Drosophila melanogaster: one gene and its partners. The protein of the gene in region 1 interacts with the protein of each later gene in a pairwise test. Each region holds a gene or a part of one and is shown on either strand. Other genes may lie near its edges. The genes, in order: Gem3, icln and Sbat.

Region 1 (6,449 bases):
TATAAGGATACAAACATTTTTTAAAGCAAAAAATAGCACTTGTGTATTTATGTACTCCTTTCACATTTATTCACCGTGAGTTTTCTCCACTGAATAAAAGTGAGCAAGAAAAAGTGATTGCCGCATATTTCCCACGTGGTGGAAAAGTTTTTTCCAACAATAAAATGCCAAGCGGTGCATAAAGTTCATAGAAAAGTTTTCTCTTTTGTTGATTGAAAATGTCGCTTATTGTCGCAGGCAAAACACCAGAAGAAATCAACAATACAAATGTTGTTGAGAAATTAAAACTAACAATAAACCAATAACGAATTCCAATGCTCAATTAATGCTACAATAATTTAAGTTTACTGATCAAATCAAAATCACTTTAAAACTTTAGAGCTAAGTCAACAAAATCGATTTATTTTCCATTATTATAATTTTTGCATCAAACATAAAATAAAAATTTTAAATATAGATTGCCATGTTCAGTCCAAAAGATGTGTTTCAATGGAAATACAATTTCCAGAAAGATGAGATGCCTTCTCCAAGGATACTCCTCCGCCGATAATTTGCGACCAATAGGGTATTAAAGTCACGGATGTAGAACGATGCCAAAAGAGGCCTTGCAGTTCTCCATAAAGCTGAATCGCCCTCCAGTTAGATATGCAAAAATGCTGTATGACCATGTAAAATCGAATATAGTTGATCAATCCGCTGGCCACAAAGGTCAATATCCAGGGCAAAGCAAATAACAGGAATATATTCCGCGGCAGGGTTCCGTTTTTCAATGCGGAATTCTGTTTTTTGATCCAATTGTTTTTCACTTGCTCTGCAGCTGTTGTCGTAGTTTTAAGGATTCCTTTCTTTTCCATCGATACCTCACTTTTGCCACTTTGCAAGTGTCGTGAGTACCAAACTCCGATCATAGATAGTAGTGAATACATTATGGCCTTAACCAGCATCCAGTGATTGTATTTATAGCCCAATTGAAGCGTTAGATTACGATTCACGGAGGGATAGACCGTTTTTAGATTGGCATTCGCCTCGATGACCGGCTGAAGATTTGAGCCCAAGTGCAGGGATGTCAGCAGCGCAAAGTAACCAATGTCTCGTATTTTGGGTATGAACATGGTTCTCGAATTTGGAGTTCAAAATGAAAAAATTTTAAGTCGTTTTTTAAATTTTGTATCTAATTTTGTGTGACCTCAATGTGCTCTGACATTCCCAGTCTGATTGCTTAAAAAACGTTATATTATAAACATTTTTTGATTTTTATTTTAAATTATACGTAATTAAAATTACGTAATTAAACAATTAGGTAAATAATAAAAGATTTTATCGTTGTTTGTTATAAATTAATTTATTAAATTGAAAGGCAGCGTGCTGAAACTACTTAACTGCATCAACTTATTTTAGCGACATAAATTATTTGAAATTCCCGCCAGCTGGTACAGTTTGAGAGCAACTATTAGCTGTGCTAAAACCCCTGCATTTAAGTGCTTGACAATCTTGCCTTATTCCAACCTATTGGAAATATAAATTTCATATTAAAACAATCAACGGTACGATGTACATATTTTTTTATTGTAAAACAATATATTGTTAAGATTTCAAAAGGAATTAATTTTTTATTTTTAGTTCAATTGGTTGGAGTGCTTGGTAAATAGTTAGCACAGATAGCAACCTTGGTGTGAGCCTTCGCTAATATTTCGACATAAGATTTAAATACAGAAAATAATATTTAATTCTAACAATTATACCTTATTTCTGTGTGAAATTATGAAAAATGTAAACATTTCTCTGAATACAAATGACATTTCGTTACTGTAGGTTTTGTTCTGTGTAAATAGGTTTAATATTCACGGATAATTCGTTTGTAGTATATTTTAGTATATAATTATTCGCGTATGATGGATTTTTTGGCCGGCAATAAAAAAGTGTAAATTGTAGCAAGGCAACCGAATCGTTTCAAAATTTTGTCCAAAAAGTGGAAATTTACGCGAAATGGAGCGCGAAATAGCGCACAGTTTAGCTGGCGGCGAGGAACGAAGTAGCGATGTGGCACCTGGACAGGTTAAGACCTTCGAGGAACTGCGTCTATACCGAAATCTGTTGAACGGATTGAAGCGCAACAATTTCGTGACGCCAACGAAGATTCAGGCAGCTGCCATACCCATGGCACTGGCCAAAATGGGTAAATATCTTGCATGCAACAGAAGATTATCAATAATAGTTGCTATATTAATCTGCAGATCTAATAATACAATCGAAGAGTGGAACTGGCAAAACTCTAATCTATGTTATAGCCGTCGTTCAGAGCTTTAATCCCAACATAAACCAACCGCATGCCATGATCGTGGTCCCAACTCGAGAGCTGGCCATTCAGGTGCAGGACACATTTTTCCATCTCTGCAAATCGTTTCGGGACTTTAAATGCTCTGCTTTCATCGGTGGCACCGATGTGGCCAAGGATCGCAAGCGAATGAATGAAAGTCGAGTCATTATCGGTACACCGGGACGTTTGCTGCATCTGTATGAGAATAGAGTATTCGATGTGTCCAAACTGCGACTGCTGGTGCTCGACGAGGCCGATCAACTTTATCAGACAAAGAGCCTGCAGCATACGGTCAGTAAACTCATTGAGGCAATGCCCAAGAATCGGCAAATAATTGCCTGCAGTGCCACATACGATCAGAATTTGGATGAGCGTCTGGCCAAGGTCATGGACAAACCCATGCTTATATCGAATTCCGAAAGGGCTACCGTTCTACTGGGCATTCGGCAGTTTGTCTACGAATTGCCACAGCAGAATAACAGTGTGGAGGAGATGCGTCTTAAACTGCAGATTCTTGGCCAGATCTTTAATCAGCTGCCTTACGAACAGGCCATCATCTTTGCTAGCTCACAAATGCGAGCGGATTCTTACAAGAACTATCTTACAGCCAGTGGTATCGATTGTCATTTAATTTCGGGAGCCATGGAACAATCGGAGCGTTTGCATGTTTTCGAGGGCTATAGAAACTTTACTATGCGCATCCTGGTGGCCACTGATTTGATGGCACGCGGAGTGGACTCCCCGCATGCCAACCTGGTTATCAACATTGATCCACCACAGGATCATGTCACCTATTTGCACCGCATTGGACGAGCTGGTCGGTTTGGCTCCAAAGGCATAGCCATCACGTTTATTGCCTCCAAGAAGGAGAGCCAGAGATTTAGGGAAATGTCAAAAAAAATCGCTACGGCTTGGTCGGTTCTGGAGTTTCCCAAGGAGCCAATGCCCAATGAATTCAATTTTTGGGATTTCGAAAAGTACAACTTTGATTATTACATTAAGGAAGAGAATCCGCTACAGGAAATGCCTATGCCTATTAAAGAAAATAGAAGTAAAGAAAATGTTGATGCTTCTTCAGTTGACTTGGAAAATCTTCAAAAGGATCAGGATGGCAAAAGGAGAGATCCAGACAAACTACCAGTGGCCTTAGAAAATGTTGAAACCCAAAAAGAGTTGGAGCTCGAAAACTTACCAGAAAGTTCACATAATAATAAGAATCTTAGGGTCAAAGAGAAAGAAATTGTAAGGCAAGGAAAGCTTAAAGAAACTAATTCCAAAGCTGGAGGTTCTAAAACGAACAAGACGGAGAGAAGGAAAAAATCTAACACTCCATCAAAGTTACAGAAACAAATAACTGAAGTGCAGCAAACACCAGAGATCACCGTAAATAAATACTATATGCAAGAAGACATACAACGAACAGCAGACGGCAAAGAGTATCATCCTGTTAATGGAGCGGGAAACCACCAGGTTCCGTCAAAATCTAATCAAAAACCGGTGGAGTTTATATCTCCCGAATTGACACCAACCCTAACACCATTGGAACTGACCCAGGAGCCGTCTCCAACCACAGTGACACCACCTGCACCGCCAGCCAACTCGATTAACAACAAAACCTATTGCCTAGCTGCTCCAACGCAAACCAGTTCGATGACCATACAGAACATGGTAATATCGAACACGGTGGACGATGCCAGTAGCATCAGTTCGGATAGCATGGTGGTATGTGGCTATCATAGCGATAGGTCCTACGACACATACTATGCAACCAGTGATGAGGAGGAGATCTGGAATAGATTAATGTCGAAACAAAGGCGTCAGCTGAAGAGCAAGAGAGGCCATGGAAAACGGCGTGTGATACTATACAAGAAAGTATTTCCTAAACTAAAGGCGAATGTTAAACGCAAGCTTAAAAAACGGATGAGCTCGTCATGCAGATCCAAAAAAGCACACCATTTGCGAAAACGTCATGTATACAAAAATATATCACTTTTGCCACACATGAATTTGTGTCATCTGCTTCAAAAATTTACAAATCAAGAGAGATTTTTGAAACGGCTCCACAAATATGCAAAGAATCAATTCATTGACAATGCGAGGGTTGGCTTTTTGCTGGATAAGCTCTATAAATCCATCCTGGAAATGTACTATAACAGTGCTAAGGAGAGGAAGAAGCATTTTAAGGAAGCTATGAAGGAGTCCCTAAAATCCATTGATAACTACGAGAGCCAAGAGTCTTCGGAATCAGAGGAGGAGGAGGAGGAGGAGAAGGATCTAAAGAACAAGTTAAGTGTTCATGTGACGAATCAGATGGACATACCACCAATGCCACAGGCCGCTGTTGAAATTGGTTCAGGAAGTGAATCGGATACGGAGGACTCGCAGGAATACGGCGAAGGCGAAGAGATCATTGTGGACGATGAGGACGATGGCAGCGATGGCGGGCCAAATTCATCGAGTGGTTTTGTAGAGAGTCAGGAGAGTGTTTCGTCTGGAATAGACACTTCCGTTTACGAAACGGAATCTACGGGCGCATCTGGAAATAATTCAAGTGCATTCTTTATTTCGGATGATGAATCAGATACTGAATCCTTAACAGATTCGGAAGCTGGAAGCAATGTCAGCGCGACAGGATCAAGCTCACAGCGATCTTCAGTAGCGAGCAGCACCTATGAATCTTCGGATGATGATTCTGTAACTGTAACCAATGTCAGTTCAATGCAGAACGCTCAATCATTGTGGTTGCAGACTTTCAACATGCAGTACCAATTCATTGCATCCCATGTGGCCAAGAATCTACAGAACTATTACTAAGTGGTTATGAATGAAAAACTAGTGAAAACTCAGGCATTAAAATTAAACTCAACTAATCACTTCATTCGGAAACAAAACGGATCAGTTCCAAGAGAGGCTGTATCAGTCTCTTTCCTTACAATTGTATATCGTAGCCAGTTAAACCGTTTTCTTAATTAGAATACTCAATGTCGAAATAGTTGATAGCATGTTGGATACCATGAATGTTTTTTTATGCAAGCAATAAATTGCAGAATTTGTTACCAAAAAAATAAATGAATTAAAGCAGGAAACTAACTATTTTGAATTTATTAAACAATAAGTTCATTGCTCAACTTCTTTGATTTCAAAATTGATTGTTTTTCATGTTTATTCGCTACATAATCGCATCAAACAAATTAATCCACAATGTGAAAGTTAAATCCCTTTAATCACTCGCAATGATTTATCTAAGAGATGGGAAAACAAACATTTTTCTTGGTTTCGGCAAGCCGGATGGATGAAGGTAAAGAAGCGGCGCCAACCGACTGCCGGGACATAAATCATATAGTCAGTGGGATCGGGATCGGCATCGACCATCGACCATCGGGCAACGGGCATCAGCTGTGTGGCAGACAACATTGTTGCACGGGCGCCGCTCACTTTGCAACTGACTGCAGAGGTGTTAACCCATTAATTAGCTGTTGTCAAAAGTCGTTCACTCGATTTTGAAAGCCACTCGAAAATCAGAATGGATTGTACAAAAATATGACATATATTTATGTTTTATTTATTTATTTAATGCATTTTGTGAATTATTTGTGCAACGAATGCCATGTTTGTCAGCAAATAAATGAGTTCTACTATTTTCTTTTTATACTCCACTGCTGTATTTAATTTTTAAAATACTTCGATTCATAAATAATTTATTTTTAAATTGATTAAATGCAGTTAAAATTTTTAAGTTTCCTTTTACGAGTTTTGTGTCCCCATTTGCGAGTGCTTCGCAATGGGTTAAGCGAATGAGACGGTCCACAGGCGGCATGCCGCGTCGGTGGCATAGTCAAAACATTCGCCCTGCGGTCGAGCACGCAAAAAGCCGGCATCTGGATGGTACTGCTCATTGGTCGTCGATCTGCAGTGCCCCAAGTGCCCCTCTTTTGGAGTGCAACACCCCTCCCCCCCCTGCGTTGCAAGTCCAATAAGGAGCGTGAGAAAACGCAAATTCAAAGCGAGCTGGAAGCGACAACATTTTATAGATCCTAGAGACATGGATAGCGTTGCATTTTGTCGCTGCCGCAGTGGCAGCAAACTCAATTCGATTAGCGATAAATGCGAGATGCGAAAAATGCTCGGCCAG
Region 2 (3,151 bases), on another chromosome or scaffold:
GCCAAGGGTAAGAATTTAGACGTGCACTACTTGCCGGCCAAAATAGACGGCGATGGGGAAGCGAATGTAAAAAATTACTTCAACAACTACACACGTGAAGCAACCGAATTCGGCACAGGAATCCTGACGAACGCCTTGCGCGGATTTCCTTTAATGGGAGAGAAGTTGAAAGTGCCCGAAGGATACTGCGGATTAGTTCTGCAAGAAACAGAGAAGCCCATCAGCGATACCTCCGACCGAAAGTTGCGGCTAACTGGAGTATTTCAAGATTTTACTTACTGGAACTACGACAAAGTGCCGTCCAATGGCGATCCCTACCGACAGGCCCTTCCTCTGCCGGATGTTGCTCAAGCTGTATGTATATACCACTATATATTCTCGAAGTACACCTAATAAATACCACATTTTATTTATTTAGCTCTCGCAGCCCATTAGCGAAGAGGATTTAGAGAAAGAAATCGCTCGTAATAAGGAAAACGTCAAGGAAAGCACGTAGTTTTGTTTTAATCGCGCTTACCGCGTTCTATTTATTACTCCAAAATCTAATCCAATACATATATATCGTACATTTTATCTGGTATAAAACGTGGTATTGATGTTTAAATAGGTTATGCTTCACTCATCAGCGTCCTCGAATCGCTCTTCGTCGTCGTCCAAACTGAGATTCTGCACGCCGTTGCGCCCAAGCGTCAATGCATCATCCTCCTCCATAGCCTCATCCTCTAAGCCACCGGCATCCTGCATAGGATCGCTGTCTTCCGAATCACTGTTTGCCGAATCAGGATGTAGGGCCTGGCAAGTCGTCATGGCACTGTACATAGTGTCTACGGTGTGAATGTCCTCCGGCATAAGCCAGCACTCTGTGACCTCTCCAAATTGCTCGTCTACGGCATCCTCGAAATTGTCGTCCTCATCGTGCTCATCGCTGCCATTTCCCTCGTCCACTTCCGCTTCCGAACCACCGCCATTCCGACCATTGACTGCCTGCTGGGGAGGATCTCCGTAGACGCCGTTCCACTCGACTTTGTGGTCCAGCATGAAGTAGATGCACTTTCTCGGATTCGAAGAGATACCGTGCAGGCTAACCTGCTTCCACTCAATGGATATACCCTCCGCCAATTCAGTTGGCTGCCAGGATAGCGTGCTAGGAACAAGAAATAACAGTTACTTTAAAAGATTTTAATAAATAGAGAGCAATACCAGACACCGGCAAAGCTCTAAAGCGCTCACTTTTGGGCAATGTAAACTGTGCCTTCGCCCACCACTTTGTCGCCTAGTTTCAGCTTGATATTGTTTGCCGTATACAACAGACCATGTTCCGGCGGGGAAACACGCATAATAAGAACCATTTTAATACAGCTTGTTAAATTAATTGTAAAAAGCGCGATCAAACAACAAAACTTGCAAAAATGCAGTGTTGAGTACCATTTTTTCGTCCCCCTTTTGAAAGTCTGGCAAGGGTGGCAATAACTAGGAGAGACAGCTGGACTCTGGCAACGCTCTGATGTATTTTCCTTCTTTGAATGTAGAATCATCAGAACAGGTGTTCTCGGAGGACAACTTCTTTCTTACCACTGTTGAATTTAGAAATAGATATATAAAGAATGGAACAATTTTGTCAAAAAAAGATAAAAACGTAGTACGTAATTGTGCTACCAGATCAGCGCGTACGATTTTCTCCCAAAGAGGTCTTAATTTGGCGCTCTAGCCGCGGTCACACTGGTTAGGTAGCGTCTCGTTCAATTTTCAATTTTAGCTGTTAAAATTTGCGATAAATGTGATAAATGCGAAGTTATATGCTCGCGCATCAAACCTTCGACAATAATACACTCCTCAAAACGAACCCATTACGGACAGAAGTGAAAGAAGTAGCCTTCGGGTTAACGAAACGAACTTGTCATTGTCCTTCCAAGTTGTTGTTATTTTCCTTATCCGTTGGCAGTCGTTATTATTGTTGTTGTTGTCGTTGTTCGTGGATATATACAGTGTTTACTCGATAGTCCCGACGGATAAACCACACAGATTGCATGGAAGCAACGATGGATACGGACCATGCGAACCTAAATGACTTCAGGGATCGCGATCTGGCCACGCGCATGCGCCGCTGCAATTACGAAAAATACAAATCCTTGGTGCGCATGCACCTATCGTTTGAATTGGAGCTCAATACGGATGAGTAAGATGGATCACCTTGGTATATGGCTGCTCACCACATTACTAACGATTCCCTTATATATGTAGATTCGATCTCCCCTGTCACGAGATTGTCTACGAGGACAAGGGCAAGCTGAAGAAGTGGAACCGCCTGTCTAAAAAACATCGTTTGGGACATGGAGCAGCTGCCACATCCTGTGCCGCCGGCTCCGCCAGTAAATCCGTGGGTAATAGTCCCACAGAGACACTGCAACAGCAGATTGATCCGGGATTCTTAATGCATCTGCAAGAGCTCAAGGAGTTCCTAATGCTGGAGAAGAGTAAGTTCGCTGAAGATCTCAAATTACGTTCATTAACTGATCCACTGTTTCAGATCTCACCCAGGAAGGCCTATTCCGCAAGGCTGGTGCGGTGTCCCGACAAAACGAACTTCGGATGCACATCCAGCACGACAAACCACTGAATTTGGAACTTGCGGGCTTCTCCGCTCACGATTGCGCGACCGTTTTCAAAGGTTTTCTATCCGAACTTCCAGAACCGCTGCTTACGGATGCCCACTATCCGGCGCATCTGCAGATAGCCCCACTCTGCCAGGCGCTCAATGGTCAGACGACTGCCACTGCTGAGCGTCAACAACATCTTCTCAACTCCGTGCAGCTGCTACTTCTCCTCCTGCCCGAAGAACATCGTGAACTTCTTCAGCACATCATTGAGATGCTGCATGCTGTGGCCAAGCATGAGAAAAGCAACAAGATGAGCGCCGATAACTTGGCCACTCTCTTCACACCGCACCTAATTTGCCCAAGGCAACTGCCACCCGAGGTCCTGCACTACCAGGCCAAGAAAATGTCCAGCATCGTGACCTATATGATCGTCCGTGGACTGGACATCTTCGAGGTGCCTGGAAAGCTGTCTACCGACATCCGGGCGTACTTTCTCGAGCGCAAAAGAAAGAAAACCATGTCGCCGGAACAAACGCTTGACGAGTCCATCTCGG
Region 3 (2,954 bases), on another chromosome or scaffold:
TGCGCTCCAATCGCTCCAGCTGGCCCATAATGTCCAGGGCAGTGGTGCCCCAATAGATGCCCGACATGCGCAGAAACTCGGTCATGCAGTACTCGTAGTCGTCCTCCTGCTTCCCATGGTTCTCGATGTACTCCACATGCTTCCAGAACTGCAGCTTCTGGCCGCCGCCATCCGCATCACCACCACCGCCGCTGTCGCCACCGCCATTTGAGGGCTTTACGAAGGTCGTGAAGTCCATCGCTGATTGGGCTCAATTGAATGAGTATCGGGTGGCTGGCAGATCCTCTTCGGCGCGCTGTTTCGCTTGATTAACTCTATTAATTGGCAGGAATAGTGCTGCGAGCAAACAAATAACTCAGTGAATCCAATCGAGCACAGCTGATTCATCTGCGCGATGGTTGGCAACGCGGCAGTGGCTTATCAAACAGCTGATCGACGCAGGGGCGTAGTGTGGAGGGGTTTACTATAACCCCATCCAAAAATAAAAATTAAACGTACTTAAATTTCAAATAGCTAGTTTATTTTATTCAAAACACATGCACACTATTGCACCAGCAGGCTGGACTGCGGATCCGGCTCGTCGATGCTTAGGGAGACTATGTGCTGGCCGGGAACCATGACGTTGCCCAGCAGGCGCGGCTCCTGGCCCTCCACCAAGTACTCGGCGCACATGGACAGCACGATGTTGGCGTCGCGGTCCGTGCAGTTGAAGAATCCCACCAGCACGCGTCCGTCCGTAATCACGATCCGAAGAACTCGACCCAGCCACTTCTGGAGCTTCCTGCGTCCCGGCGTCAAACTGGCATCGTTCATCTGGTGCGGGGCGTTCGTTGTGATGCGGAAGGGCTCCGGTGGTGTGCATGCGGGCGGGGGCATCACCTGCTGGCCAGTGATGCTCAGTTCTGTCATGGTTATATCCTCTTTGCTCAATTTAAACAAATAAATGCAAGAAATTCTCAGCTTTTTTTGTGTTTACACTGCGCGTATGTGTGATATAGTGTGCGTGTGTATGAGTAATGGCCAGGGATGCAAGCACGTGTAAGTGGTTCGGTTCACTGGTTCACTTTTTGAGCTCATAAATTCGAAAATATACGAAACACTCGTTTGCTTGTGTCAAAGAAAATACTTTAGATTTAAAACACTTAAAGGAAATGATTGCAAAATGAATGCACACAATGAGCCTTCTTTTTAACATCTTCATACGAAAACTAGTTCTTTTTATATTTGCATCCCTGGTCGAGCTGAGCTTATAAAGGTAACGGGCACCCTAGCCCAGTCAGCTGATTTGCATTTTGCGGCAAATTTTGTTTCGCATTTATCCAAAAAGCTCGTAATTCGTCTCTTGATTTTTTCAAATATCCACCATGTCCGGAAAGGCTTTAAACATTGGCGATCAGTTCCCAAACTTCACGGCTGAGACCAGCGAGGGTCGAATCGATTTCTACGACTGGATGCAGGACAGCTGGGCCATTCTGTTCTCCCATCCGGCGGATTTTACGCCGGTTTGCACCACGGAATTGTCCCGGGTGGCGGCATTGATTCCGGAATTCCAAAAGCGTGGAGTCAAGCCAATTGCACTGTCCTGCGACACCGTGGAGTCGCACAAGGGTTGGATCGAGGACATCAAGAGCTTTGGCAGTGGGTTTGGTCACTGATTTCTGGACAGGAATCGCTTCTAATTGGCGTTTCTGTTCGCAGAGCTGAGCTCCTTTGACTATCCCATCATTGCGGACGACAAAAGGGAACTGGCGCTCAAGTTTAATATGCTGGACAAGGACGAGATCAATGCCGAGGGCATTCCCCTCACCTGTCGCGCCGTTTTCGTGGTGGACGACAAGAAGAAGCTTCGCCTGTCCATCCTGTATCCTGCCACCACTGGGCGCAACTTTGAGTGGGTATTCCAATATCTAGCATTCATCATTATCTATAAAGTAATGCTGTAATGCACTTTAGCAAACAATCGTGCACTTAATCGCATTAGCAGATAATTATTTAATGAAGTATTATTGCTGAAAACTAAGTACTAACCTTGCATATAATAATGGAAGTTAAATAGGAACGATTTCAAGGTCAATTAATCCGACAAATTACATTTAACTATATCCTTTGCAGTGAAATCCTTCGAGTGATCGACTCGCTCCAGTTGACCCAAACAAAGAGTGTCGCGACGCCGGCGGATTGGAAACAGGGCGGCAAGTGCATGGTCTTGCCCACCGTCAAAGCCGAAGATGTTCCTAAGCTCTTTCCTGATGGTATCGAAACCATTGAGCTGCCCTCCGGAAAGAGTTACCTGCGGATCACTCCACAGCCCTAATGGATGACAAGCGTGCGCTCTCACTTTTTTTTTGCTTTATTACAAAAATTATAATTAACAACAAATAATGCACAATAAAGTATACGCTTACAACCGTATTTTCAGTAGATCGGCGCTTTCAGGTGGCTAAAACTCGCCTTCTGCTGGACAAAATTGCCAAAACATTCGACTTACGAACTAAATCAGATGGGGAATGTGACAAAAAGGTCGCGATTTGTGTGTACGAAATAAATATACATTCAATATACATATATAGACGTGTACAAAAGGGGGTAGAGATATTGCAACTGGATAACCATGGGGGTAAGTAAGGTATAAATAAGGCCAACTCTGTACAATAACTGAAGCGCTTTCTAGGATAGAAGAAAGCTAAAGACCAAGCTCGTGCCCGTAACCGAAGATAACTGAAAGGAAAATGTTTACATTGGATTAATTTTGGTGGCACAAACAGTATAAAGTTATTTGTAATAGTGACCATTCATTTAAACTAATAATTGGAAACACATGTTACTGATAATTAGTTTAAACAGTGGATGCTTGAGCACTTTCCCTTGCCCAAATACTCACAAGATATATTCCACAATCTGAGTTCGCATAGAGATCGTTACCTTGAATATGTTAATGAAATGCAAATATGTAC

What was found.
Region 2: the proteins of Gem3 (region 1) and icln interact in a two-hybrid assay, tested with the Drosophila melanogaster proteins (one study listed by BioGRID).
Region 3: the proteins of Gem3 (region 1) and Sbat interact in a two-hybrid assay, tested with the Drosophila melanogaster proteins (one study listed by BioGRID).

Annotation. Positions count from the first base shown.
Region 1 is NT_037436.4:10,458,564-10,465,012, reverse strand, and holds Gem3 (gemin 3), read left to right. Parts: upstream 1-1,911; 5' UTR 1,912-1,986; coding exon 1,987-2,176; intron 2,177-2,234; coding exon 2,235-5,131; 3' UTR 5,132-5,932; downstream 5,933-6,449. Other genes in the region: CG32061 (uncharacterized protein), read right to left, coding at 468-1,112.
Region 2 is NT_033778.4:17,589,231-17,592,381, reverse strand, and holds icln (icln), read right to left. Parts: upstream 1,419-3,151; 5' UTR 1,350-1,418; coding exon 1,231-1,349; intron 1,145-1,230; coding exon 616-1,144; 3' UTR 501-615; downstream 1-500. Other genes in the region: CG30105 (uncharacterized protein), read left to right, coding at 1-354, 419-496; RhoGAP54D (Rho GTPase activating protein at 54D), read left to right, coding at 2,028-2,176, 2,242-2,474, 2,528-3,151. UniProt on the Drosophila melanogaster protein: Involved in both the assembly of spliceosomal snRNPs and the methylation of Sm proteins.
Region 3 is NT_033779.5:2,876,548-2,879,501, reverse strand, and holds Sbat (sabbat), read right to left. Parts: upstream 1,159-2,954; 5' UTR 910-1,158; coding exon 544-909; 3' UTR 501-543; downstream 1-500. Other genes in the region: RabGGTb (Rab geranylgeranyltransferase subunit beta), read right to left, coding at 1-238; Prx6a (peroxiredoxin 6a), read left to right, coding at 1,365-1,638, 1,699-1,891, 2,113-2,314. UniProt on the Drosophila melanogaster protein: Auxiliary component of the N-terminal acetyltransferase C (NatC) complex which catalyzes acetylation of N-terminal methionine residues. May have an accessory function in the survival motor neuron (SMN) complex.